Linked DNA regions of Callithrix jacchus. The protein of the gene in region 7 binds, or shares a complex with, the protein of the main gene of each other region. Links are inferred from orthologs where the notes say so. Each region holds a gene or a part of one and is shown on either strand. Other genes may lie near its edges. The genes, in order: XPO5, NUP50, IPO13, XPO1, SIRT2, RANGAP1 and RAN.

Region 1 (3,500 bases), on a different chromosome or scaffold from region 7:
TCAAGCGCTTCTTGTGCCTCAGCCTCCCAAGTAGCTGGGATTACAGGCGCATGCCACTACACCCAGCTAACTTTTTTGTGTTCTTAGAAGAGCAGTTTTCACCATGTTGGCCAGGCTGAGCACATGAGGTCGAACTCCTGACCTCAAGTGATCTGCCCACCTCGGCCTCCCAAAGTACTGGGGTTATAGGTGTGAGCCACCACGGCCAACCTAATATTTGTATTTTTAGTAGAGACAGGATTTTGCCATGTTAGCCAGGCTGGTCTCAATCACCTGACCTCAAGCAATTTGCCTGCTTCAGCCTCCGAAAGTATTGGGATTACAGGCATGAACCACCATGCTCAGCCATGAAAGATAAAACTTTTACCCCTTTTCTGTGTTTTTAGAAAACACTTGCTTTTTGTTTGTTTGTTTGTTTTCTGAGACAGGGTCTCACTGTTACCCAGGCTGGATTGCAGTAGTGCTATTAAAGCTCACCTGTAGGCTCAAGTGACCTCAGCTTCCTGAATAGCTTGGACTGGACCACAGATGCACACCACCACACCTGGCTATTTATTATTATTTGTAGAGATGGGATCTGCATTATGTTCCCAAGACTGGTCTCAAACTCCTGGGCTCAAGGAGTTCTCCTGCCTCAGCCTCTGATGTGCTAGAGTTACAGGCCTGAGTCACCACAACCAGCCAGAAGAAGCAATTTCGTACTTCTTATTCAGACCCTTATTTAGTTGAGACTCTGTCTTTTTTACCTGAAATTATAAGGAGAATAATGAAGGAGAGTTTGTTACAAGGATATCCTCCTTCCTATTTTTTTCTTCCAACTTTCAGGCAACCCAGTGACCATAATGTGCAGCCTGATGAAAGTACAGCTAAACTAATATAATGAAATTGAGGATTTCATACTGTTTAGGATTTTAGAAAAGGAACTTGAAGATTTTTCACTATTTGCATAGGATATTTTTGACATCTGGCAAACCCTTTAGGGATTGATTCTGCCCAGGGGTATAGCCAGCACCTGGCAGGTGAGGGCATGGGCTTATACACTAAAATTCCTTAATTTGCTGCAGCACGGGTCTTTGTAAAGCCTCTGGTGCTCTTCTGTCCCCCCGAGCACTATGAAGCCCTGGTATCCCCTATCCTCGGACCTCTTTTCACCTACCTCCATATGGTAAGAGATAAGTCAGGAACAGGAAACAAAGAAGGTCTGTGGCCATTTTTGAGCCTTGTAAGTCAGGAGCTCCTAGAAGGGTTGTCCCCTAGCCCTGCCAGACTGGCTGGGCAGAGCTTCTACCCTAGCATACTATCCTTGCTGTAGGATTGAGCAAGCCCCAAAGAAGTAAACTGATTTAATTGCCACAAGGCAGCTTCAGATGCAGATTCTGTTCCTAACCTGTTAACTGAGGAGAGGTAAAAAGAGGAATGCTTGTTCACAGACCCTTGCCAGGGATGCTGGGTCTGTTACCCTGACTCTGGAATTAAGCAGGGGGACCAGCTGGGTGGAGAACAGGTATGTCTAGAGACCCAAGGATTCTAAAAATGTTATTTTAATTCTTTCCAAGCAAAGAGGTGTTTGATATACCACCCTTATCTTGGACATGGGAGAGGTTACAGAAACCATAGATGGCTTTTTTAACTTTGTGGTGTGGAGTCTACAGAGGCTGTCACTGATGCCTAGACTCATCCTTGGCTAATTTTAATCATGAAGTGGACTTGACTTTAGATATTATGTGTTCCAATCCTCTCCCCAATTCTAGCATTTATTTCCTTTGTGTTTTCCCAGAGGCTTTCTCAGAAATGGCAAGTTATCAACCAGAGGAGCCTGCTGTGGTAAGGGATACCCACCCCTTCTTGGTGAATGAGCTGGCAGCCAGGTTTGGGATTAGGAAAGAAAGGGGGCAGGGATTCTGCTGTCTCAGAGCTAGAAGAGCAGTAGCTTATAGTCATTCTCAGCTTAGGTGATAGATGGCTTATCTGGACAGCCTGTGACCAGCAGGCAGACTCTGAGATCCAGCCTTCATAGGGGCTACTGTTACCTTACTTATTTTGATTCTGTAATGTCTATTCAACTGCACAGAGTCACTAGTAATAGTGTCCTCAGTGGATCACTGCTGTCCATTCCCAACTTGTGCATAGAATGTTAACCCAAAGGAGAAGAAATTGGTCACAGAGAGTCCGGCTAGGGCCCTGCTTTACTTGTCCTTCCCTTTCTGCACTCCTATGGAACTTAGCCCCCTGGTTTTCTGCAGTGGAGAAGATGAGGCTGCAGATGAAAACCCAGAGTCTCAAGAGATGCTGGAGGAACAACTGGTGAGGATGTTAACTCGAGAAGTCATGGACCTAATCAGTAAGTGGCATGTGGAAATCAGGGCTATGGAGAATTTTTCTGGAAGAAGAGCTGGTCGCTAAGCCAACCCCATGAAGCCCTGACTGATGCAAAGATTCATGTTTGCAACAACACTGTCAGACCCTAAAGAATAACTGGATAGAAGCAAGGCAGTCCTTGGTCAACCCAAGGACACTTTATGAATTGCAAGCTGAATTGTACCAAGGCCAGAATATGGGTAAACAATCTAAAATAGCAGAAGGAATTTGGATTCATTAGGAATAACTTCCTAGTTTTGTCAAAATAGAGGAACTTTAAATTCTTGGACATGGAGGCTGTTAATTTGCTTTTTATTTTTACTGTGTCATTTTGTTTGTTTAAGATTCAAAGTAGACCAGGCCGGGTGCGGTGGCTCACGCCTATAATCCCAGCACTTTGGGAGGCCAAGGCGGGTGGATCACAAGGTCAAGAGATCGAGACCATCCTGGTCAACAAGTGAAACCCCATCTCTACTAAAAATACAAAAATTAGCTGGGCATGGTGGTGTGCGCCTGTAGTCCCAGCTACTCGGGAGGCTGAGGCAGGAGAATGGCTTGAACCCAGGAGGCGGAGGTTGTGGTGAGCCGAGATCATGCCATTGCACTCCAGTCTGGGTAACAACAGCGAAACTCCGTCTCAAAAAAAAAAAAAGATTCAAAGTAGACCAAGGATGTATCAAGCATCCTTTCCTAATCACTCTCAGAGAATTCTGTAATTTTCTCCCAGCTAATTGAACTTGAAGGACCAAAACAGTCTGGTCATCAGAATGCCTCTATTCCTATTGGTGAAGCTGATTTTTATGCCTTACACAGTATCCCCATCATCTTCCCTCCTCACCTGGCCAGAGACAGGTTGGGATCAGTGGGCCTGAAGTGGCTGTTGTGGTAGTATATACCCTCCCTTGACCTAGTAACCTTGCTTTCTTGCCTTAGCGGTTTGCTGTGTTTCAAAGAAGGGTGCTGACCACAGTAGTGCTCCCCCAGCAGATGGAGATGGTAAGTGAGCCTGAGACCTTGGAGGTCTACTCTTAGCCTCCTGATATTGTTCCTTCTGAATCAGGTCAGTTTCTTCGCAGTCTGGTGAGGAGGAGACATCCTACATCTAGTTGTTATCTCTGGACTAGCCCTCTTGCTCTGTGCCT
Region 2 (3,500 bases), on a different chromosome or scaffold from region 7:
AGAAAAAAGTTTCAAATCCCAAAACGAATGGGGACAGTCAGCAGCCCTCCTCCTCTGGCCTTGCTTCCAGTAAAGCTTGTGTCGGGAATGCCTATCACAAGCAGTTGGCTGCCTTGAACTGCTCCGTCCGGGATTGGATAGTGAAGCACGTGAATACAAACCCACTCTGTGATCTGACGCCCATCTTTAAAGACTATGAGAAATATCTAGCAAACATTGAACAGCAGCACGGGGACGGTGGCAGCAATTCTGAAAGTGAATCTAACAAAACGGCGGTTGAAACACAGTCTCTTTCCCTTTTTGGCTCAACAAAATTACAGCAAGAGTCAGTGTTTTTGTTTCATGGCAACAAAACTGAAGATACACCTGAAAAGAAGGTGGAGGTTGCAGCTGAAAAGAAAACGGACCCATCACTAGGAGCAACAAGTGCCTCATTTAACTTCGGCAAGAAAGTTGATAGCTCTGTTGTGGGCTCATTAAGCTCTGTCCCCCTGACTGGATTTTCATTTTCCCCAGGAAACTCCAGTTTACTTGGCAAAGATATTACCCAGAGTAAACCAGTCTCTTCACCATTTCCCGCTAAACCATTGGAGGGCCAAGTAGAAGGTGACAGTAGCGAATGCAAAGGTAAGTACCAGGCTTGTCACTGATTTAGATTTGTGTAAGATTTGTGTTTGAGAAAGATAAAGGCCTGGATTTGGAGGTGATCTGCAGTCACAGTGAGACATCGCCCGCTCCATGTGTGATCTCTGAGTTTCAGATTCCTTATTTTTAAAAGAGTAAGACCTATTTTGTAGGGTTGTTTATAAGGATTAAAAATAATTAAAATGAAATTGAAAACATCTGACCTTGAAAAGTGTCAAACACACGTGGCGTAGCATATAAAAAAGAAGTAAAGACGTTTTTTGAAAATTGTGTTTTGGAAAAGTTCAAGTTCATTATGAATGTCCCCTGAATTGATCTGAACTTAGGAGATTTGACTAAGTAAAGTCACGTGGCAAAACAGTACTTGACTACACAGTAAAAACGTAGACTCTACATAGCTATAGAGAACATATCAACAGTGTTGATTTGTTCATAGCTATAGAGACTTTTCATAGCTACAGAGAACAAATCCTCCTGTGGGTTTGGAGGTACCTCCTTTCCAGAAGACAGCCCCACGTAGTATCTAAGTGGCATCTCCTGTAGGTATTGTCAGTGCCCCAGACCAGGCAAAGGTCTGGGCCTTAATCTGGGCCATTCACTCCCTCTGTTTTTAGCTAAAAAGTGGGGTGATACCATAATACCACATCCTCATACGGTGGTTGTGAACAAATGATGTCTGTGAAGATACCTACTTGTAAGCAATTAAAAGTAAGGCCGGGCGAGGTGGCCCACATCTGTAATCTCAGCACTTTGGGAGGCTGAAGAGGAAAGCTCACCCGAGGCCAGGAGTTTGAAACCAGCCTGGGCAACATAGCAAGACCCCATCTCTACACAAATTTTTAAAAATATACCCAGGCAAGGTGGTGGGTGTCTATAGTCACAGCTGCTCTAGAGGCTGAGGTGGGAGCATCTCTTGAGCTTAGGAGTTCAAGGTTGCAGTGAGCCACAATTGCACCACTGCACTCCAGCCTGGGCAACACAGAAAGACCTTGTCTCAACAAAAGGTGTGCTCCTCAGACATATGAACATTGGTCCTTGAGGAAGAAAACTGCATTTGCCAGTTTGCCACTGAAATGTTTTTCTAGCAGGAGGCTAGACTTACGTTAATGTTTTGCCTTGCCATACTTTCAAGTGTATCCTCAGGCACAGGCCCTCAGGATCAAGGGTGAAGTCAGTGTGTCCCCTTTTACTTCTCTGCCTCCCAGAAATAAAGACACATGGGGAGTCTTTTCCCGAGGCAGGTGCTGGGACAGCGACGCTGGATTTGAATCGAGTCCCAGTGGATGCAGGGTGCCCCTCAGTCCCTTGGTTATCACAGTTTATGCATCAGAAGATGGGAGATTGGAGTGATAAAATGGACAGTCCTATCTAATTTAAATGATGTGATCTAGTCATCTGAGCATCACAGTTTTTTTCTTAGAATTGCTTTTTAGTGACTTTTTATGCAGCTGCCATTCTTTTTAAGAGGATCTTTTATATATGTGGTTTTTTAATTGTTTTGAGATGGTCTCACTCTCACCCAGGCTAGAGCGCAGTGGCACAATCACGGTTCACTGCAGCCTTGACCTCCCAGGCTCAAGTGAGCCTCCCATTTCAGTCTGCCAAGGACCTAGGTTCACAGGGATGCACTGCCACATCCGGTTAACTTCTTTACTTTTCATAGAGATGGTGGGGGCGCTTCTCACCGTGTTGACTGGGCTGGTCTTGAACTCATGGGCTCAAGCGATCTTCCCTCCTTGGCCATGCAGAGTGCTGGGATTACAAACATGAGCCACTGATCCTGGCCTATACATGTGTTTAAATAGTGTTTTGTTTAACTGATGTCCCACATCTCCTGTGTATGGGAGACCCCATTAGTGGGGATACCATTGATACCAGAGCACTGACCCACGTGGCAATTCAGACAAAGCTCAAACTACTTATGTTGGGACTTTGGAATGATTTCTCTGACATCTTGCCCCCTGCTTAAAAAATATATATATTTTTCTGTCTTTGGCCATTATTGATACTGGTTGCGGATATATGGTCACAGGAATATTCAGGGGTGAAGGTGTTAAAATCCCATCTGAGATGTCATTTTCGAGTGGGTAATTTGAATACAGAGTGTTATTTTTCTGTAAATGTCATAAGTATGGAGATTTTTCCATTCTAAGGTTTTCCGTGTACTGGGAGTTATTTTAGCATTAAGTATGTTCCCATTAAAAAGGATGCTTATTTTTCATAAAGTAGTTAAAATCCAGCAGACACTCGCCTCTGCCATCCCCTCATTGGGTGTGCATTTTAGTCTGTTGGTACATGGAGTGCTCAGCTGGAGGTTTAGGGTGTTACATAACAAAACTTGTTACTTTAAGCTCTGGGTTGGAATCTGACTGAATTATTGTCATTTTTTATAAAAGGTGGAGATGAAGAAGAGAGTGATGAGCCACCCAAAGTAGTAGTTACTGAAGTAAAAGAAGACGACGCTTTTTACTCCAAAAAGTAAGAATCACCAGAACCTGCTGGTGCGTGTGTTTTAGAGACATGGTAGTGTGCTTCAGGCTGGAGAACGTCCTCACGGCACTTACCTGAGCATTCAGTCTTGGGGTCAAGCTTTGCCTGCTCTCAAGTGAAATAGGAAAGAATTCTTGGCCAGCTTATTTTTAAAAAGCCAGTTCTAGAAATGTCCTGGTGGGCAAGTCTCACTCTTTTCTGTCGCTTTAGGTCTTTTAAAGTGCTAGAGACAGGCTTTTCCATGATCCTCCCAACTCCATGCTGTCCCATGTTCTCTTCCTTTTTCTCCCTCCCGCTCCTACTCCCCTAACAAAGGAATCTCAGGTCACTGATTGCAGGTTTGGCTTCACTCACTTTACTCTGGA
Region 3 (3,500 bases), on a different chromosome or scaffold from region 7:
GATATTCTGTCCTTTGAGGCAGAGAAGCAGGCTGTATACCAGCAGGTGTACCGGCCAGTCTACTTCCAGCTGGTGGATGTGCTTCTGCACAAGGCCCAGTTCCCTTCTGATGAGGAATATGGATTTTGGTCCTCAGACGAGAAGGAGCAGTTCCGAATTTACAGGTGATGGTAGCAGGCCAACTCCTCTAAAATGGAGTCCATAAAGAATGAAGGCAATGAGGGAAGGGGCCCAAGGCCAGGCTTTCTGAATTTGGGGACTTCTCTCTCTGTTCTCTAGGCATTGTTGCAGGGTTGTGGGGGTACTGGGGTAGGCTCCTGGGCTTGGGGGCAGGATTCAGGGGCAGGATCCAGGCAGTATAAAAGGCCTTCATCTGCTTCTCAGGGTGGACATCTCAGACACGCTCATGTATGTCTATGAGATGTTGGGAGCCGAGCTGCTCAGCAACCTCTATGACAAGCTGGGTCGTTTGCTTACCAGCTCAGAGGAGCCCTACTCCTGGCAGGTACCTCCCAAGCCTGATTCCCTCAGCCCTCCCAGACCTGTCACACCCTCCTCCTCATCCAAGCCAGTGGCACCCTCTTTCCCCAGCACACGGAGGCCCTCCTCTATGGCTTCCAATCCATCGCAGAGACCATCGACGTCAACTATTCTGATGTGGTGCCTGGGCTCATTGGCCTCATCCCGCGGATCAGCATCAGCAACGTGCAGCTGGCAGATACTGTCATGTTCACCATTGGTGAGACCTGGCACATGCCCATGACCATATTCCCAGAGCCACAGCACCTGTCCCTGGCCACAGCCAGCATGCTGGATCCTATCCAGAATGGGAGAGCCACATGCCTACACACAGTGTTGTAACAAACTGACTGTCCTGGCAGGTCTAGGGGGTCCATCTGATGGCACAGTGAGCTGCAATTCAGTGAGACTAGTTTACTGTCAGGGGAGACTAAACAAGAGTAGGAGACAGAAGAGTAAACACAGGTTCAGGAGCCCTGATAAAAAAAAGACTTTGGAAGGCAGCAACACCTCATGAGAGCATCCATCCCCACCATCTACTCCACCCTGACAATTTACTGTCAGTTAAACAGCAGTACTGGACCTCTGTTGAGTAACCCTTTCCTGCTTCTCTGCTGTAGGCTCTTGTTTAAGCATGCACATGCATATTTGCCCATGTAGTCCTCTGAATGGAGCAGTGCTCTGTGCTAGGGCTGCAACTTGACCCTGCCAGGAACTCTGCTCGCCTCAGAGGCATGGTACAAAGCCAGCCTGGCCTGCCTCAGAGATCCTCCTGTCTTCCTCTTTCCTCCAGGAGCTCTGTCTGAATGGCTGGCTGACCACCCCGTCATGATCAACAGTGTTCTGCCCCTGGTACTGCATGCCCTAGGTAATCCTGAGCTCTCTGTCTCTTCTGTGTCTACCCTCAAGAAGATCTGCCGAGAGTGCAAGTATGACCTGCCTCCCTATGCTGCCAACATTGTGGCTGTGTCCCAGGTATGCAGGGGCCCTGGATGGTGCTGAGCCTCAGTGCACACTCTGCGCTGTGCTGATACTACATTCCTTCTTTCTACCCCCAGGATGTGCTGATGAAACAGATCCACAAGGTGCGGCTCAAAAGTTTCTAGGGGTCTCCTTGGGGGTCTTGTGGGAATCTCTTATCCCTGAAATCCTGTTTTTTGACTTCCCCTTCCTCTTACCCCTTATTCTCTGTTTTTGGAAGCTCCACCCAAGAGGCTTATTTTCCTTCCTACCCCACAACTATATGTAGCCAGGACTGATCATCTATGTTCTGCCCACAGACAAGCCAGTGCATGTGGCTGATGCAAGCGCTGGGCTTCCTGCTGTCAGCTCTTCAAGTGGAGGAGATCCTTAAGAACCTGCACTCACTCATCTCACCCTATATCCAGCAACTGGAGAAGCTGGCAGAGGAGATAGTGAGTGAGCTCTAGGGGCCAGGGAGTAGTACTGGGATGCTGTGGCTGATGAGGGGTGAGGTTGGAGCTAGCCCTCAGAGTTGGGGCTCAGTGATCTGGACCAAACTGGGGCTAGGAGATCTGGAGCTTGGTTTGCTTCTCCCTGCAGCCCAATCCCTCCAACAAGCTGGCTATTGTCCACATCTTGGGGCTTCTCTCCAACCTCTTCACCACGCTGGACATCAGTCATCATGACGATGATCACGAAGGCCCTGAGCTTCGGAAGCTTCCAGTGCCGCAGGGACCCAACCCCGTGGGTGACATTGTCTTTGCCATCCCCCCAACCCCCACCTGTGGGAATGTCTTTGTCACTCTTCAATTCTGTGGGTAATGTTGTCATTGTTCTCCTTTTCCCATGGGGGTGATGTGTTTGGTCCTCTGATTCCATGAATGACCTATAATTACCTCTCACTCTGTAGGTAGCAATGTCATTATCTCACTCAACTCTGTGTGTGATGTTGTCCTTGTCCCCAGCCCAATTAGGGTGACGTCATTGAAATTCCTCAGCCCCATAAGAGACATTGACATTTTATCCTTCAACCCTTAAGTGATGTTCAACCCCCTGCCCCGCCCCGCCCTGCTCTGGAGGGCCTTCTACTTCAACATTTACTGTCCCCTGTGGGCACTAAGGATGCTTATTACATCCTCCGCATGTAATAGTTCTGGCCTTCAAGTTGCTCCCAGTGTAGAGGAAGTTCAAGTTGCTCAGATTGTCACAAAGCAGTGTGATAAGTCCTGTGAGAAGCCTGGACACAGGTTTTGGGGTGACCACTTTACAAGCTGCTGAATCTGGAGCAAGCCTCAGCTTCTCATTAAAAACTATGAACATTGAAATGTCTGGCTTACTTAATTCATAGAACTGTGCTGGATAGTAGATGTGGTCTTACATGTAGGTAGTTTGCATATTGTAAAGGTCTTTATAAATAGAAGGGACTGCTTTGGTCATTGTTCACAGAACTCCCTCCAGGATTTCTCCTGGAGAAAAGGAAGCCATAGGCATCCTGGCCTCTCTGCTTAACTCTGCAACCGAGTTTCAGTTAGCCTCTTGGCTTTAGATCACACCTGGGCCACTGTCGTCGGACGGAGCCCATTCTTGATATGGTAGACATCATCCTGCCTTTCCTTGCCTCCCAGGACCTCAGTCTGCTCTCTGCTCCTCCATAAGCTGCCTGCATCTGTGCATTCTTTGGGGCTCCCTACCTCAAGCCTATTTAAGAGGAGATTGTATCTCCACTTCTTCAGGCGCTAGCCCATAGCCTTGGTTTTACAGAGCAGAGATATAAAGGGAGAGATTTTTTTTTTTAAGTCTACAAAGATTTCATAATCTTACGAAGCACCTGTGATATCTCTGCTTTGCAGTTTGAGGCTTCCTTTGAGATAATCCCTAGAATTCAGGATATCCTCCTTTTTCATTCATGAGAGAGTTCAGCAAACCACTTCTTCCCCCAGGGGTCCCATGCACTGGGTCCTCAATATGCATTCTGGGGTAATAGGTTTGAATTCCCCTCCTCCCTGCTACCAAGTCCT
Region 4 (3,500 bases), on a different chromosome or scaffold from region 7:
CAAGTATAATGTAAAGAAATTGGCCACTCATTTTCTGGTCCACGGAAGTTCCTAAAATGGGAAGAAGTGGAGATCTGACCTTGTTAGTTCGAAATACACTAAACCGGGGGTGCCATGGATGGCTTTCAGGATGTCCCGAATCCTCTGTAGTTGTATACAAAATAGCGAGTTTTTAAAAACTGGGTTAGAACTGTTGGTTCCTCAGAGTCTCAGGCATCTTCGACCCCCAAAAAGGTTAAGGGCTACTGGCTTAACCAGTCAGGTTTGAGTGGCATTGGCTTCAAAGAAAAGCAGAGGAAAAATACTTTTAATAATTCTGGGTAACAAAAAAGTGGATGTGTGCCAGCATCTTAGAGTAGAATCCTCTTAAATGGATAACACTGCATATGAACTAGCAGGTTTTAACCAGTACTTATTTGGGCGAAGTAGCTCATTTTTCTGTTAGAATTCTTTTTTATCTGGAAATGGGCAAGCTTTTAGAGGTTTTACCTTGCTGAGGAATACCTGGAATTTAAAAAATCTTGCTTGGCATATTGCTATAAAGTTTTTTTTTTTCCCCAGATCGTATGTTCAGTAAATATGTTTGTAAATGTAATTACAATCCCCCAATTCATTGAGGGTTGAAACAATTTGAATGTTTTGAGTGTAGAAACTAAGTTATTTCTGTAAAGGTTAAGGGAATTTTTACCAAGATATGTAAGACTTGTGTTTTTGCTAACCATTGCTGTATACAATAGGAATTACTGTATATCCTAATTTAATTTTTAACATCTGTCTTTTTTCTTTGTTGGTTTTTGAGATGGAGTCTAATACTACCACTGGAGTGCAGTGGCGGAATTGAGGCAGGGATTACAGGCGCCTGCCTCCATGCCTGGCTAATTTTTGTATTTTTAGTAGAGATGGGGTTTTGCCATGTTAGCCAGGCTGGCCTTGAACTCTTGACCTCAGGTGAGCAGCCTGCCTCGGCCTCCCAAAGTGCTGGGATTATAGACGTGAGCACCGTGCCCAGCCCATTCTGTCTTTATAGCATATCTTTAAAGTTACTGTAATGTGAAGTGAGCTTTTACTGAGTTATCCAGAAGCCCCTACTTGGGAAGAAAAGAAAATCTCATTCACTGGAACTTAATAATCATACTTGCTGAAAAAGTTTTGACATCAAGATACTGAACTGTATCACTTTTTAGGGCCATACAGTCCTAATAGTGGATGAATTTAAATAATAGGTTATCATACTTTATACATGTTAGTAGGATAGGAAAATCTGGTGTATAAACTCTGAAAAAGTTGAATGGATCATAATAACTTATGTAATTATCAAGTAGTTAAGTAATTTCAACTTTTGTTACTTGATTTTACTATCGCAGTTTTTTTGTAATAATAATAAGTCTCTAAAGTATTCATTAAAATATTTGGAATAACATGATTGAAGTAAAATAACTTGTAGAAAGTTTTTGATAATACCAAAACTTTATAGGCAGCTTCAATTTTTTTTCCTTTATTTTCAGTAATCTATGCCAGCAATTATGACAATGTTAGCAGACCATGCAGCTCGCCAGCTGCTCGATTTCAGCCAAAAACTGGATATCAACTTATTAGATAATGTGGTGAATTGCTTATACCATGGAGAAGGAGCCCAGGTAAAGTAGCCAACCAAATCTTTATAACGTAATGACAGTGTAACAGAGTTGTTGGGTTTAGAATAAAATTTTATAATTTTTAAAAAAGATATTCCATAGTTTACATTAATTTGGAATTATATATTAACCATAATGATAATTGGTTTGGAGAAAGAAATAGCATAATGTTTGACATTGTTAGAGTGGGTTGTTTTGAAATATTATGCTTGTTTTGTCCTTAAGAGCTGAATGTTATTAATAAATACTTTGTAGGTATTAAAGGTTCTCTGTATTTTTATATATACTTAATATGTTTGGAGCTACATGATTCTTTTGCTTTGGAAACATTTACAGAAGTATTTCACAGATATGTTTGTTTAAAAAAACCAGGAATACCAAGTATTTTTATGTTAGTTGAAATTTGTGCACTTTCTAAGTAACTGTTAATGTAGAGAAGAATTATCTTAAACATAAACCGTGTTTTGATCAGTTTAAGGTTTTTGGCCTTTTTGAACCCAATTAAAAGGTGAAACAGAAATGTATATAAAATTTTAAATTGTGTTACAAGAAAAAAACCTTGACTTTTTTTTTTTTACCCATAGGACCAAACTTTTTTGAGACAGAGTCTTGCCCTGTGGCCCAGGCAGGAGTGCAGTGGTGCTGTCTTGGCTCCCTAAAACCTTTGCATTCAAGCGATTCTCTTGCCGCAGCCTCCCTAATAGCTGGGATTACAGGTGCACGCCACCATGCCTGGCTAATTTTTGTGTTTTTAGTAGAGACAGAGTTTTACCATGTTGGCCAGGCTGGTCTTGAATTGCTGACCTTAGGTGATCACCCACCTCATCCTCCCAAAGTGCTGGGATTACAGACATGGACCACTGCGCCTGGCCCAAACAGTTTTTTGAATGAGTAAAAAGTTCTTCAGTTGGGTCAGAAATTTTTTTTCTTTTTTTTTTTGAGATGGAGTCTTGCTTTGTTGCCAGGCTGGAGTGCAGTAGCCTGATCTTGGCTCACTGCAACCTTTGCCTCCCAGGTTCAAGCAATCCCTTACCTCAGCCTCCTGAGTAGCTGGTACTACAGGCGTGCACCACTATGCCCTGCTCTGCTCATTTTTTGTATTTTAGTAGAGACCGGATTTCATCTTGTTGGCCAGGATGGTCTCCATCTCCTGGCCTCGGGATCCACATGCCTCCACCTCCCAAAGTGCTGGGATTACAGGCGTGAACCACTGTGCCCGGCCTCCCAGGGGCTTTTAATCAGTATGTTATCTCCAAAAGCATTCTTGAAAAATTGTCCATCAGTATTTATTATCCCTGTCATTTAGTTGTTCCTCAGGCTATGCATTCAACATGAAGTTTTGTTTTTTTTTTTTTTTTGAGATGGAGTTTCGCTGTTGTTACCCAGACTGGAGAGCAATGGCACGATCTCAGCTCACCGCAACCTCCACCTTCTGGGTTCAAGCAATTCTCCTGCCTCAGCCTCCTGAGTAGCTGGGACTACAGGTGCGCACCACCATGCGCAACTAGTTTTTTTGTATTTTTAGTAGAGACGGGGTTTCACCTTGTTGACCCAGGATGGTCTTGATCTCTTGAACTCATGATCCACCCGCCTCAGCCTCCCATAGTACTGGGATTATAGGCCTCAACATGAAGTTTTAAGCTTCATTTCTTCTAGCATGGATGCATAGAAAGCAGCTGCTTTTGGAGGAAACTGTGAAATTAAGGTTGGGTTCAACTTTGAATATATTATTGGAAACACGGGTCTGTAGCCATTGGGAAAAAGGGCACTTAATTTTTTCCATATATATTCAGCTGCCAATACTGTTTAATCTTGGCACTAAGGTAGTTCACAACATCTAAAGGATCTAATAAATAAACCAACATA
Region 5 (3,500 bases), on a different chromosome or scaffold from region 7:
CAGAACAGCCGCACTCCAGAGGCCCTTCTGCAAATGCTGCAGCTGTCCTTATCCAACAGGGACACCAGTGGCTTTGTTAAATCAGCATAAAGAATGTCAGAAATGGCTTTCCATGAGTGGAATAAGCGGCTTCTTGTTTGTTTGTTTTTTGAGATGGAATTTTATTCTTGTTGCCCAAGCTGGAGTGCAGTGGCACAATCTCAGCTCACTGCAATCTCCATCTCCCAGGTTCAAGCGATTCTCCTGCCTCAGCCTCCCAGGTAGCTGGGATTACAGGCGCGTGCCACCATGCCTTGCTAATTTTTAGTGCGTTTTTAGTAGAAACGGGTTTTACCATGTTAGCCAGGCTGGTCTCGAACTCCTGATTTCAGGTGATCCACCCGCCTCAGGGCCTCCCAAAGTGCTGGGATTCCAGGTGTTAGCCACTGAGCCTCGCCAGAGTAAGTGGCTTTTGAATGAGCACAATGGGTGTCAGAAATCATCTCTCTCTGGCAATTAAGAAATGTGGATTGGCTGATTTTTTAAAAATATATATATTCAGTCCTTACATGAACAGGGATTCTGACTCTAGCAGGCCCTGCAGTCTTTAGGGATGGCCCCAGCCTTCACCCTCACCAGGCCTGGGTCCACCTTCTCATGCTATAGGTCCTGCCACACTGTCCAATATGGTAGTCAAAGCCACACACAGTGTTTACAATTCAGTCAACATTAAGCAGGACTCGAAGAATGGGTGCCCACTGCATGGAGACCCTGCCCCTGCTCCTGCTGCTGGGGGGAGGCCCGCCCTCAGGATGCCCTCCGGCCTCACCTTTCATCCAGCTTAGCGTGTATTCGCGCCGGCAGCTGGGGCTGACACAGTGCGACGTGTAGAAGGTGCCGTGGGCCTCCACCAGGTCCTCTTGCTCTAACCCCGCTATTCGCTCCAGGGTGTCTATGTTCTGGAGGGAGAGATGGAGGGAAGAGGGGTCAGGAGTGAGCCACTACTTATAGGCCAGAAGGCACAATGGGCAGTTGAGGCCACAAGAAGCAGTGGGATGGCGGGGACAGAGGGAGGAGAGAAGGAGGAGAAGCAAGTGGCAGGTCGAAGGTCGCACCTGAAGACTCTTCTGTTCATCCCAATGGTGCTACTCAAAGAGTGACAGTCATGGCTGCTTAAAGGTAGGGGCCAGGCTGGGCTCACGCCTGTAATCCCAGTACTTTGGGAGACCGAGTGGGAGGATCACTTGAGCCCAGGAGTTCAAGACCAGTCTGAGCAACAGAGCAAGATCCCATCTCTACAAAAAATAAAAAATGCAAAAAAAAAAAAAAAAAGAGTGGGGGCCCAAACCTAACTGTCTGTGAGGCCAGGCCCATGACCACTCAGCCCATGTGGCTATTTTTTTCTGCAAATTCGGGCCATTTGCTCCCATTTTTCAGAAAAAAAGTTGTTTTGTTAGAGCCAGAGGCTTTGTTGCCACCTGTCAGAAATTATTGAAATTAACATAAAATTTACAATGTCTCTGTTGTAAATGGAGCCCCCACAGATGTGGCATCCTTGTGCAGGATGCACCCTGCACAGCCACATGTGGCAGCTCTGGGCAAGCATTAACATAAATGAATCGGGAGGGCTTACTTGGTCTTGTTTTTTTTTTTTTTTTGAGACTGAGTCTCACTCTGTCGCCCAGGCTGGAGTGCAGTGGTGCAATCTCAGCTCACTGAAACCTCCAACTCCCAGATTCAAGCGATTTTCCTGCCTCAGCCTCCCAAGTAGCTGGGATTGCAGGCACACGCCACCATGACTGGCTAATTTTTGTATTTTTAGTAGAGACGGGGTTTTACCATGTTTGCTAGGCTGGTCTCGAACTCCTGATCTCATGATCCACCTGCCTCAGCCTCCTAAATTTCTGGTGAGCCATCACACCTGGCCACGTTTTTCTTTGAGACAAGGTCTCACTCTGTCACCCAGGGTGTAGTGCAGTGGTATGATTCACTGCAGCCTCCAACTCCTGGGCTCAAGTGATCCTCCTGCCACAGCCTCCACATCTGGCTGATTTTTATAATTTTCTGTAAAGATAGGGTTTCACTATGTTGCCCAGGCTGGTCTAGAACTCCTGGGCTCAAGCAAACCTCCTGCCTCAGCCTCCCAAACTGCTGGGATTACGGTGCCTGGAATTACAGCTACTGTGCCTGGCCCTTCTGTGGCTTTCATCCCTGTCTTCCTCTTCAGCAGTCAGGGTTCTTTCTTAATATGGCCTGTTTAGTAGATGGCATAGTCACCTATGTTCTTTTTTTCTGGAGGCAGGGTTTTGCTCTGTCACTCAGATAGAATGTAGTGGTTTGATCACAGCTTACTGCAGCCTTCACCCCCTGGGCTCAGGCCATCCTCCCACCTCAGCCCACTGAGTAGCTGGAACTACAGGCAAATGGCACCATGCCTGGCTAATTTTTTAATCTTTTTAATTTTTTTGTAGAGATGGGCAGCAGGGTGGTCTCCCTATGTTGCCCAGGCTGGTCTTGAACTCCTGGGCTCAAACGATCCTCCCACCTCAGCCTCCCAAAGTGCTGGGATTACAAGTGCAAGCCACCATGCCCAGCCACTGTTTCCTTTTTCTTTTTCTTTTTTTGAGATGGAGTTTCACTCTAGTTGCCCAGGCTGGAGTGCAATGCTGTGATCTCGGCTCACTGCAACTTCTGCCTCCTAGGTTCAAGTGATTCTCCTGCCTCAGCCTCCCGAGTGGCTGGGAACACAGGCAGGCACCACCATGCCCAGCTAAGTTTTGTATTTTCAATAGAGACGGGCTTTCACCATGTTGGCCAGGATGGTCTCAATCTCCTGACCTGGTGATCCGCCTGCCTTGGCCTCCCAAAGTGCTGGGATTACAGGCATGAGCCACTGTGCCTGGCTGCTGTTTTAAGACAGTGATACTTTCCAAATTCTTTTTCTTTTCTTTTTATTTTTTCTTAAGAGACAGGGTCTTGCTATGTTACCCAGGCTGGAGTGCAGTGGCTATTCACAGGTGGGATCCCACTACTGATCAGCACGTGAGTTTTGACCTGCTCCGTTTCCGACCTGGGCTGGTTCACACCTCCTTAGGTAACCTGATGGTCCCCCGCTCCCGGGAGGTCACCATATTGATGCCGAACTTAGTGCAGACACCTGATGGGCATAGTGCACTACAGCCCAGACCTCCTGGGCTCAAGTGATCCTCCCACCTCAGCCTCCTGAGTAGCTGGGACTACAGACACACACGCCACTGTGCCCGGCAATACTTTCCATATTAAACAGGTGAGAATGTTCTTTCCTACACAGACATTTGTACACCCTAATTTTTCTTAAAACACCCAGCTGCTTTGAAGCAGCTTTCATTCGGCTTAGAGGAACATTGCTAAGGGAGGTGCTGACAGAGGACACCTTTACGCAGAGATGTATAGTCAAGCGCCGCCCGGGGCCAATCTGACAAGTTTCCCAGAGACTCCATGAACAATGGGAAGGGTCTGTTTCCCTTCAAGGGCAGAATGAA
Region 6 (3,500 bases), on a different chromosome or scaffold from region 7:
CAGCAGCTGTTTTTTGAGCCCCCATTTAGTGCTTGGCTTTGTACCAAGCAAGTGCAAGCCACACAGGGTTGAGCCAAAGACCCTCCTTCAAGGAGATCCTAGCTCAAGGAGGGGAGGGAGGTGCTGGCGGGGACAATGCTGGGTCCTGAACGCAGTGGATACTTGGCTGCCAGGACCCTGTGGCCCCACAGAAGGCTAGTCTGGCTGCTTATGTGTTAGCAGAGATGTGTGCAGGTGTTGGGAACACGTCAGAAGGAAGTTCAAATCAGACTTAGGTCAGGCTTCCTGGAAGAGATCACATTTTGGCTAAGGTACAGTACAAGTGGTCTTTCTCCGGACAGAAGGTGGGAGGTGGATGTTTCAGGCAGAGGGATTAGCTTATGTGTGGAAGGCCTGGAGACTTGGGCAGGACTGGTCTCAGGAAGAGTTGTGGCCGTAACATGGGGAGTGAGGTCAAGGGGGGACCCAGAGGCCAACAAGGAGAAGACGGCAAAGCTGGCGACTTGGGGAGGAGGACAGTGTGTGGTGGCTGGTGTGGGAAGTGACTGTGTGGGGCCACCATGGTGCTTTCTGAGGGCTGGAGTGTGGCCTGCACCCTCATTCTCTGTACCCTTACTTCCCCCTCGCAGACCTTGAAGACCTTGCGGCAGGTAGAGGTGATCAATTTTGGGGACTGCCTAGTGCGCTCCAAGGGTGCCGTTGCCATTGCAGATGCCATCCGTGGTGGCCTGCCCAAGCTAAAGGTGCCAACCTAGACCCTGACGTCCTCCTGGGGTCTGTGGGTGGTGGGTGACTGGGGGTGCAGGGGTCTGGTCTGAAGCTAAGTGGGCCTGCGTCCATATCCCAGCTCCTCCACTTCATGCCCTGTGATGCTGTGTGAGCTCCACACCCCTCAGAGCCATGGTTTTTCATTTATAAAGTGGGCAGGGGGTGGTGTGCATCACTGTGGTATAGTTGAGTAAACACACACTGTGTGGCACATCGTTGGCTGCAGGGTTATTCTTCCTGCCCACTATGCCTTGGGAAACAGCACTGGAGGACAGAATATGCCATATCCTCACTTGGGGAAACTGAGGCTTAGAGTGGGACATGGTGTCCTGGCCCAGGTTTCTGCCTCCCTCCAACCCTTCCTCTTATTTTCAGGAGCTGAACTTGTCATTCTGTGAAATCAAGAGGGACGCTGCCCTGGCTGTTGCTGAGGCCATGGCAGACAAAGCTGAGTTGGAGAAGCTGGACCTGAACGGTAGTCGGATGGGGGAGTCCTCTGCACAGGTCTGGCAGGCTGGCCCTGGCACCCCGGGCTGACTGCTCTTCCCTCCCCTTGAGCAGGCAACACCCTGGGAGAAGAAGGCTGTGAGCAGCTCCAGGAGGTCCTGGACGGCTTCAATATGGCCAAAGTGCTGGCGTCCCTCAGGTAGGGAACTAGGGTGGGTGGCCCCAGAGGTCAGGGTTAGGCCATTCCTTTGTTTCTTTTTTTTTTTCCTTGAGATAGAGTCTTGCCCTGTTGCCCAGGCTGGAGTGCAGTGGCACGATTTCTACTCACTGCAACCTCCATCTCCCAGGTTCAAGCGATTCTCCTGCCTCAGCCTCCCAAGTAGCTGGGATTATAGGCAACCACCACCATGCCCCTTTATTTGTTTCTACTTGTATTTATTCAGAAAGGTTGGTTGCACTCCTATTATGTGCCGGGTTATACACTAGGCATCAGGTCTATAAGGGTGGGACAGTCAGGGTTTCTGGCTCATGGAGAAGAGATAGAATGAGTTGTGCATTCAAAAGAGGAGCTCATACGGGCTGAGTAGAGCCACCCTCTAGAGCGAGGGGAATCGGGAGGCCTCTGAAGGGTTGAGGCCAGATCTCATCCTGATGTGGTGGGGCCTGGGCAGTGATGGGAGTGGGAGGTGGGGGCTGCCAGAAGGGGCTGCGTTCAGGATTGTTCTTAAGATACTGACTCTAGAAAGGAAGAGATTCTAAGGCCTGGGGAGTCCACCTGGAGGCGAAGGTGCGGTGGGGGAGCTGCCACTGCCTCTGGATCCAAGTCCAGTTGGGCCATCAGCACCTGGCTCCCTGTGCCCCTCTCATCCCCAAGTCAGCCTTGTTTGTGGGTCAGATACTCAGTTGTGTCTCCTCCGTGCTAGGCCCTGAGCTGAGGCTGGGAACTGGGGACTTGGAGGTGGGCTGAACCTCACAGGTCCAATGGTCCCTGGGAAATGGACTAGCCTTCCTGTGGGGCAAGGACACCCCTACTCTTCTTCCTCCCTCATACCTGTAACTTCCTGAGGTCATGTGGATGTAGGTACCCCTGCCCTGGCATCTCAACCTGGGGAATGTTCCTGCCAAGCCCTGGGCTCTGGGTATGACAAATAAAAACAAATGTCTTTGTTTTTTGTCTCCCCTGGGGCTCCTTGAGGACAGGGACAAGGTCTGATTCTTTTGTGTCCATAGCATGGATTTCCCTGGTGATCCACCTGCCCCTGTCCTGGGAGCAGGTGCTCCCACCCCACCTAGGCTCCCTCCCACCTGGCTGAGGTGAGGTCTCTGGGCTGATGGAGCCAGGCCTTGGAGCCAACCTGGGCTGCTGGGTAGAGAGGATATGCTTCAGCCAGCTCTGTCTGCAGTGATGACGAGGATGAGGATGAGGAGGAAGGAGAAGAGGAAGAAGAAGAAGCAGAAGAGGAGGAGGAGGAAGATGAGGAAGAGGAGGAAGAAGAAGAGGAGGAGGAAGAGGAAGAGCCTCAGCATCAAGTGCAGGGAGAGAAGTCAGCCACGCCCTCACGGAAGAGTCTGGACCCTAACACTGGGGTGAGTTTCTGTCGTTGCCATGATCAGAGCCCTGGTCCTGAGAAGGTGAAAGCCTGAGGCGTCTTCACAGTGGGGTAGGGGTGTCTCCCTAAGCATAGTAGCCACAAACATTTTTTTTTTGATTACATTATACTGACTTGAAAATGGTCCCAGTGTAATGATAGTTACCTATATTTCTTTCTTTTTCTTTTTTTTCGGGGGGTGGGGGGGCAGAGTCTCTCTTGTCACTGAGGCTGGAGTGCAGTGGTGTGATCTCGGCTCACATTTACAACCTCTGCCTCCTGGGTTCAAGCGATGCTCCTGCCTTGGCCTCCTAAGTAGCTGGGATTATAGGTGTCCACCACCACACCTGGCTAATAGGTACGCCCCAGTTCAGGTTTTTCTCTGGCTACCTTAGCAGGGCTTACCCAGTGTGGACTGTAGTTCTACAGGGACCTACTTTAGACCCCATGTATCTCTTTAGTCATTTCTCGGGTACTGCATATTATGACGAGAATCTACTTGGCTGTAGCAGATTTTTTGAGTCCTAGGTAGGTGGCTTCCCCCTGACCCCAAAGGCTCCTGGACCAAGAGCCAGCCAGGGCCAGCATCTCTGGGTGATGTTGATAGGTGGGAAGGGAGGAAGAATTCTAGACTTCGCGCCTAGATGGGCTAGAGTGAGGGGTGGATGTGCTGGGTGTGGGGATGGGCACAGCTGT
Region 7 (4,173 bases):
AAACCCCATCTCTATCAGTCTTTAAAAACAATAAAAATAGCATAAAAATAAAATTATTTCCATATATAATATAGACTGGTCAATTTCATGGTCTTACGTATCATCTCCTCTAAGAGAAATAACTCAGGAAGTTTTAATTTTCACACACCTGAAGATTCTTCTTTCGGTGGAAGACAATGGATTTTGCCTTCACTTTCCTGTCCTTAATGTCCACTTTGTTGCCACATAACACGATGGGGATGTTCTCACACACTCGCACCAGATCTCTATGCCAGTTAGGCACGTTCTTGTAAGTAACTCTGGATGTTACATCGAACATTATGATGGCACACTGGGCTGAAAGGAACATTTGTGGTAGTTAGTACACTTAGTTTACTACACACATGAAGAATGCCAAGAACCAGTCTAGGATTCATCTGGTCTTAGACCTCACCGAGTCTCCTAGCTTTCTCCCTTCACTTCCAATTCTAAAAATGTCAATTCGCAATTTCTAAAAATGTTAATTCACAATTCTTCCTAAGCAAGATGAGCTGACCCCGTCAAACCTCCCTGATACACTTCATCATTAACAGTACCCTCATCCCAAAAAGTATCTCGGGTAGATTAATGATAAGTGAGATTCTGCAGAACCGAGCTGCCATATTCTGAGGGTAAGGGGCCTGCAAACACCTTCTTCAGAAGGTCTTTCAATGGCATGGCTGACTATACCAGGAAATATTCCTGTCTTAAATCCAGACAGGCCAAGCGATGTGGCTCATGCCTGTAATCCCAGCACTTTGAGAGGCCGAGGTGGGTGATCACCTGAGCTCATGAGTTCGAGATCAGCATGGGCAACATGATGAATCCCCATCTCTACAAAAAATAAAAATAAAAATAAATAAAATACAAAAATTGGTCAGGTATAGTGGCCTGTGCCTGTAGTCCCAACTACTCAGGAGGCTGAAGTGGGAGGACAGCTTGGCTCAGGAGGCAGAAGCTGCAGTGAACTGAGATCACACCACTGCACTCTGGGCTGGGCCACATAGAGACCCTGTTTCAAAAAATAATAACAAACCCAAATAAAGTCTATATATTCACCTGCAGGGCCAGCTATGGCATAGTTGATAAAGCAAGAATCCACAACTTTTTGGTTAAAAGATTTTTGGGGGGAAATTCTTGTGTTTATTTGTACATACTAAAGGAAAACAAAAGGCATGGAATGATTCCAAATAATTTGTTATCAGCAAAGTGAGGATCCAGGAGAGATGAGTATTTCCTTTACTCCTCTTTTTGGTATAATGAACGTCTTCCTTGCAATTTTAAAAATCAATCTATTTGAGAAAAATACTCTCCGCAACTTAGTACAAACAATGTAACAAGAAATCACCTAGTCTTGCATAACACTTGCTAAGATCCCTATCTTCCCTGGTGTTTTTTAATGGAGTACAAACAATCATTGATCACTACGTCTAAATTCATACCTGAGCCTGTTTTCATATACTGAACTGCTCTAACAGCCTGTCTGTGATTGTTTTAAACTATGACATGTACCCAGTGTAAGTCACAGTTTCTTCTAAACCATGCCTAGCATGACACAGCATGCAAATAACACAACTTGCATAAAATGTTCTCCTCTGCCACCAAAATGGTGGTCAGCTCCCCGAAGCTCACGTTTTTTAACCCAAAAATGACACAGTTCCCCTAACAGTATTAAGCACTGTTTGCCGGAACCGGCCTGATTTTCTATAACCTTGAAGGATGCAGTACACAAAAGCTCTCAGCAACGGTTCAGCAAGTCACGGATGCTTACCTTGGATATAGTAGCCATCTCTCAGTCCGCCGAATTTCTCCTGGCCGGCCGTGTCCCACACATTGAACTTAATAGGTCCTCTGTTAGTGTGGAACACCAGGGGATGAACCTCAACACCCAAGGTGGCTGCGACGGAAGCGATGCCAGTGAGTGGGCGCATTGACCCGTTTCCCACCCGTGTCCGCGAACAAGGTGCTCCCGCACATACCTACATACTTCTTCTCAAATTCACCAGTCAGATGACGTTTCACGAAGGTCGTTTTTCCGGTACCACCGTCACCAACCAATACAAGCTGTTGGAGAACACATTTTGGAAGTAAACCCAGAACACTTCACCTCTCCGGATCCCAGAGTCCGCCACGCCAAGAACGCGGACGCGGGGCCCGGCTAACAGCCATCGTGGGCCCGGGAGGAGGGACCGCGAGGCGCACGCGGGCCGGCCCGGCCGCCGCCCGCCCCGCAGGGTTACCTACTTTAAACTGGACCTGGGGCTCTCCCTGCGCAGCCATCGCGGCGTTCCTGCGGAGGCAGAGGACGGAGACGAGCGCTCGCGCGGCCCCGCAGCCCATGGCGGCCCCGCTCCCGCGCCCCCCGCGCCCCACGTGCCCGCCCCACAAAGGCCTCCCGCCCGCGGCGCCATGGCGGCCGGGCCTGGGAGCGGGAAGGCGGCGGGCGGGGCCGGCATCCGGGGCAGCGGGACCCAAGGAACGACGGACGGGGGGGCCGGGATGGAGACGAGACTGGGACCGGGAGCGGGATGGGAGCGCGGGATGGAACCGGGATTCGCGGGGGCGGGCGCCGACCCCACGCCCGTTTCTTCCCCCGGCCCGGCCCGGCCCGCGCCACCCACCTACTCACAGCCGCTCGCTGCCCCGGGGCCGGCCACCAGCCCGGGCCCTGACCCCGGCCGCGGCCCCTGTCCCGCCGCCACGGCCCCTGTCCCCCCCACCCCGGCCCTGCCCGGCCAGCCGCGTCGTTACCTTCCAGAAGCGTCTCCGCGCCCGTCCGACTGAGGCTGGAAAGATGGCGGAAGCGCAATTCAAACGCCTGAGACGCAGCCGACGCCGGCGCGCGGCAGGGGCGGGGCAGGCGCGGGGCGGGGCTGACAAGGGGCGGAGCAACGGTCCGGTGCCCGCCCACGTGGACCGCGCGTGCGCGCACGCACGCAACCCGGCTCGGTGGAGCGCAGGGTGGGGCGGTAGGCGCGGTGGACCGCGTGGGAGGACGAGGCGGGAGCGCGCACGCACGCCGACCCGCGGGCCCCATGTGCGCCAACACTCAGGGCGGGCTCCCGGGCACGCATGCGCCACTGGTGAGGCGGCGCGCTCCTGGCCGGGAGATGCTGGGCGCGGCGGGACAGGCGCGGCCCTGCGGCCTCCCCGGCGGGAGGCGGGATTCGCTCGGGCAGACGCGGTCAGGCACGCGGCTTCCAGGCGCTGGCCAGCCTGTCGTTGTCTGCGCCCCGTGGAGTGAGGGTACTTGGGGTCTTTGGGGCATAGGCCGGCGCAGGACCGGTAGGTGACAGAACGAATGAATGAATGAATGGGTCCTAGGCCGGTCCCCCAGGGTCAGCCCGCGCCTTTGTCTCCCCAGAGCTTAGCCTTCACGCCCCCAGGCCCAGGGACAGTTGGAGAGCGAGGCATCAGAGAGGGATGCGCCCACCCAGAAACACGGGTGCTTATTTCTTTTGAGACGGAGTCCCGCTGTATGGCCCAGGCTGGTCTGGAACTGCCAGGCTCACGCAGTCTTCCCGTCTCGGCCTCCGAGTAGCTGGGACTACAAGCGCGCGCTACATCCGGGCTGATTTTGTTTGTCTTAATTGAGACACAGGATCTCACTGTGTCTCCCAGTCTGGCCTCAAGGGATCCGCCCTCTTCGGCGTCCCAAGGCGCTGGGATTGCAGATGCAGTCACCGCGCCCGGCCATAGCACCCCTTCTCGGAGCGTTTCATAGGTCGGCAGCCATGGCGGCCGCATCCTACAAACAAAACGATGAAATTTCGTTTGCGGTGTGGGCGGGTCTTCCAGCCGTAGTTACCCTCGGGGGCGGAATGAGGAAGTGCCCAAGCTCCCGGCCCCCTGTGGAGCTGAAGCTGTGAAGAGCCTAGGCCAGGTTGAGCTAGAGGGACCCCGACCCACGGGTCCTTCCTGGGCGCCCCTGCTGACATGCAGACAGATAAAGGCCCAAATCAGCGCAGTCAAGCACCTCAGAAAAGAGTTCCCCGTGGGGAAAGAGCCCCAGGGACCCAGGGGTCCGCCCAGCAGTCACGAGCACACTTGCAGGCGAGTCCGCTGGGAACCCCAGTGACGCAAAGTGCGCACAAGGCGCGCGAGAACCGGCCAGCTGGAAACGCAAGTCCAGGGACCCTCGGGAACGCCAGCCAC

Evidence for each region.
Region 1: RAN (region 7) and XPO5 share a complex: the UniProt entries of both Homo sapiens proteins name them as parts of the nuclear export receptor complex. The link is inferred for Callithrix jacchus from reciprocal best matches to the Homo sapiens genes RAN and XPO5.
Region 2: the proteins of RAN (region 7) and NUP50 are in contact, whole or in part, in a crystal structure (PDB 7MO0), measured with the Homo sapiens proteins. The link is inferred for Callithrix jacchus from reciprocal best matches to the Homo sapiens genes RAN and NUP50. Residues at the interface, in NP_006316.1 of Homo sapiens: Arg29, His30, Thr32, Gly33, Glu34, Phe35, Glu36, Phe52, Val124, Asp125, Ile126, Lys127, Ser153, Asn154, Tyr155, Phe157, Glu158, Phe176, Ala178, Pro180, Ala181, Leu182, Ala183, Pro184, Glu186, Val187, Asp190, Pro191, Ala194, Tyr197; in NP_009103.2 of Homo sapiens: Pro344, Pro345, Lys346, Val347, Val352, Lys362, Cys363, Lys364, Phe366, Tyr367, Lys368, Asn371, Glu372, Phe373, Lys374, Glu375, Lys376, Gly377, Ile378, Lys384, Lys390, Gln392, Leu394, Arg396, Thr399, Asn400, Leu401, Asn403, Ile404, Leu405.
Region 3: the proteins of RAN (region 7) and IPO13 are in contact, whole or in part, in a crystal structure (PDB 3ZJY), measured with the Homo sapiens proteins. The link is inferred for Callithrix jacchus from reciprocal best matches to the Homo sapiens genes RAN and IPO13. Residues at the interface, in NP_006316.1 of Homo sapiens: Lys37, Lys38, Tyr39, Leu43, Gly44, Val45, Val47, Pro49, Trp64, Gly74, Leu75, Arg76, Asp77, Gly78, Tyr79, Ile81, Gln82, Asn103, Arg106, Asp107, Arg110, Val111, Tyr147, Trp163, Arg166; in NP_055467.3 of Homo sapiens: Leu33, Tyr34, Tyr35, Ile39, Lys42, Gln46, Leu49, Met50, Gln53, Glu73, Tyr76, Phe77, Ser80, His83, Ile84, Ile118, Thr121, Arg122, Val125, Val172, Glu175, Glu176, Thr179, Ser414, Asp415, Arg784, Asp785, Pro787, Asp788, Pro829.
Region 4: the proteins of RAN (region 7) and XPO1 are in contact, whole or in part, in a crystal structure (PDB 7B51), measured with the Homo sapiens proteins. The link is inferred for Callithrix jacchus from reciprocal best matches to the Homo sapiens genes RAN and XPO1. Residues at the interface, in NP_006316.1 of Homo sapiens: Lys12, Lys37, Lys38, Tyr39, Val40, Ala41, Leu43, Gly44, Val45, Val47, Trp64, Glu70, Lys71, Gly74, Leu75, Arg76, Asp77, Gly78, Tyr79, Ile81, Gln82, Val96, Pro102, Asn103, Arg106, Arg110, Val111, Glu113, Val124, Asp125; in NP_003391.1 of Homo sapiens: Leu35, Tyr36, His37, Gln43, Arg44, Gln47, Leu50, Thr51, Lys54, Glu55, Asn74, Tyr77, Tyr78, Gln81, Lys124, Val125, Lys129, Met132, Leu173, Glu176, Glu177, Phe181, Gln185, Lys266, Thr269, Glu270, Asp313, Gln316, Asn317, Gln320.
Region 5: the proteins of RAN (region 7) and SIRT2 are in contact, whole or in part, in a crystal structure (PDB 5FYQ), measured with the Homo sapiens proteins. The link is inferred for Callithrix jacchus from reciprocal best matches to the Homo sapiens genes RAN and SIRT2. Residues at the interface, in NP_006316.1 of Homo sapiens: Phe35, Glu36, Lys37, Lys38, Tyr39, Val40; in NP_036369.2 of Homo sapiens: Phe96, Arg97, Glu116, Phe119, Gln167, Ile169, His187, Ile232, Val233, Phe234, Phe235, Gly236, Glu237, Ser238, Leu239, Phe244, Gln265, Val266, Gln267, Pro268.
Region 6: the proteins of RAN (region 7) and RANGAP1 are in contact, whole or in part, in a cryo-EM structure (PDB 9B62), measured with the Homo sapiens proteins. The link is inferred for Callithrix jacchus from reciprocal best matches to the Homo sapiens genes RAN and RANGAP1. Residues at the interface, in NP_006316.1 of Homo sapiens: Asp18, Gly20, Tyr39, Val40, Ala41, Thr42, Leu43, Gly44, Val45, Glu46, Glu70, Lys71, Leu75, Arg76, Tyr79, Asp91, Thr93, Ser94, Arg95, Val96, Thr97, Asn100, Lys123, Asp128, Arg129, Lys130, Lys132, Lys134; in NP_001265580.1 of Homo sapiens: Ser29, Gly58, Asn59, Thr60, Asp86, Thr89, Gly90, Arg91, Leu92, Arg93, Ile96, Asp121, Ala123, Phe124, Gly125, Asp127, Asn151, Cys152, Gly153, Met154, Gly155, Arg189, Asn190, Arg191, Gln217, Asn244, Asp245, Asn246, Thr247, Asp273.

The regions. Positions count from the first base shown.
Region 1 is NC_133505.1:52,009,298-52,012,797, reverse strand, and holds part of XPO5 (exportin-5), read left to right. Parts: intron 1-1,067; coding exon 1,068-1,165; intron 1,166-1,777; coding exon 1,778-1,824; intron 1,825-2,243; coding exon 2,244-2,341; intron 2,342-3,291; coding exon 3,292-3,354; intron 3,355-3,500. UniProt on the Homo sapiens protein: Mediates the nuclear export of proteins bearing a double-stranded RNA binding domain (dsRBD) and double-stranded RNAs (cargos). XPO5 in the nucleus binds cooperatively to the RNA and to the GTPase Ran in its active GTP-bound form.
Region 2 is NC_133502.1:215,221,322-215,224,821, forward strand, and holds part of NUP50 (nuclear pore complex protein Nup50), read left to right. Parts: coding exon 1-627; intron 628-3,041; coding exon 3,042-3,123; intron 3,124-3,500. UniProt on the Homo sapiens protein: Component of the nuclear pore complex that has a direct role in nuclear protein import. Actively displaces NLSs from importin-alpha, and facilitates disassembly of the importin-alpha:beta-cargo complex and importin recycling.
Region 3 is NC_133508.1:80,625,571-80,629,070, forward strand, and holds part of IPO13 (importin-13), read left to right. Parts: coding exon 1-164; intron 165-384; coding exon 385-505; intron 506-591; coding exon 592-739; intron 740-1,312; coding exon 1,313-1,494; intron 1,495-1,577; coding exon 1,578-1,604; intron 1,605-1,799; coding exon 1,800-1,934; intron 1,935-2,082; coding exon 2,083-2,226; intron 2,227-3,500. UniProt on the Homo sapiens protein: Functions in nuclear protein import as nuclear transport receptor. Serves as receptor for nuclear localization signals (NLS) in cargo substrates.
Region 4 is NC_133515.1:52,589,317-52,592,816, forward strand, and holds part of XPO1 (exportin-1), read left to right. Parts: intron 1-1,505; 5' UTR 1,506-1,511; coding exon 1,512-1,637; intron 1,638-3,500. UniProt on the Homo sapiens protein: Mediates the nuclear export of cellular proteins (cargos) bearing a leucine-rich nuclear export signal (NES) and of RNAs.
Region 5 is NC_133523.1:34,438,075-34,441,574, forward strand, and holds part of SIRT2 (NAD-dependent protein deacetylase sirtuin-2), read right to left. Parts: intron 939-3,500; coding exon 809-938; intron 1-808. UniProt on the Homo sapiens protein: NAD-dependent protein deacetylase, which deacetylates internal lysines on histone and alpha-tubulin as well as many other proteins such as key transcription factors.
Region 6 is NC_133502.1:192,060,824-192,064,323, reverse strand, and holds part of RANGAP1 (ran GTPase-activating protein 1), read left to right. Parts: intron 1-629; coding exon 630-743; intron 744-1,143; coding exon 1,144-1,243; intron 1,244-1,329; coding exon 1,330-1,414; intron 1,415-2,618; coding exon 2,619-2,802; intron 2,803-3,500. UniProt on the Homo sapiens protein: GTPase activator for RAN. Converts cytoplasmic GTP-bound RAN to GDP-bound RAN, which is essential for RAN-mediated nuclear import and export. Mediates dissociation of cargo from nuclear export complexes containing XPO1, RAN and RANBP2 after nuclear export.
Region 7 is NC_133510.1:134,087,432-134,091,604, reverse strand, and holds the start of RAN (GTP-binding nuclear protein Ran), read right to left. Parts: upstream 2,801-4,173; 5' UTR 2,770-2,800; intron 2,309-2,769; 5' UTR 2,299-2,308; coding exon 2,263-2,298; intron 2,083-2,262; coding exon 1,998-2,082; intron 1,916-1,997; coding exon 1,790-1,915; intron 337-1,789; coding exon 149-336; intron 1-148. UniProt on the Homo sapiens protein: GTPase involved in nucleocytoplasmic transport, participating both to the import and the export from the nucleus of proteins and RNAs. Switches between a cytoplasmic GDP- and a nuclear GTP-bound state by nucleotide exchange and GTP hydrolysis.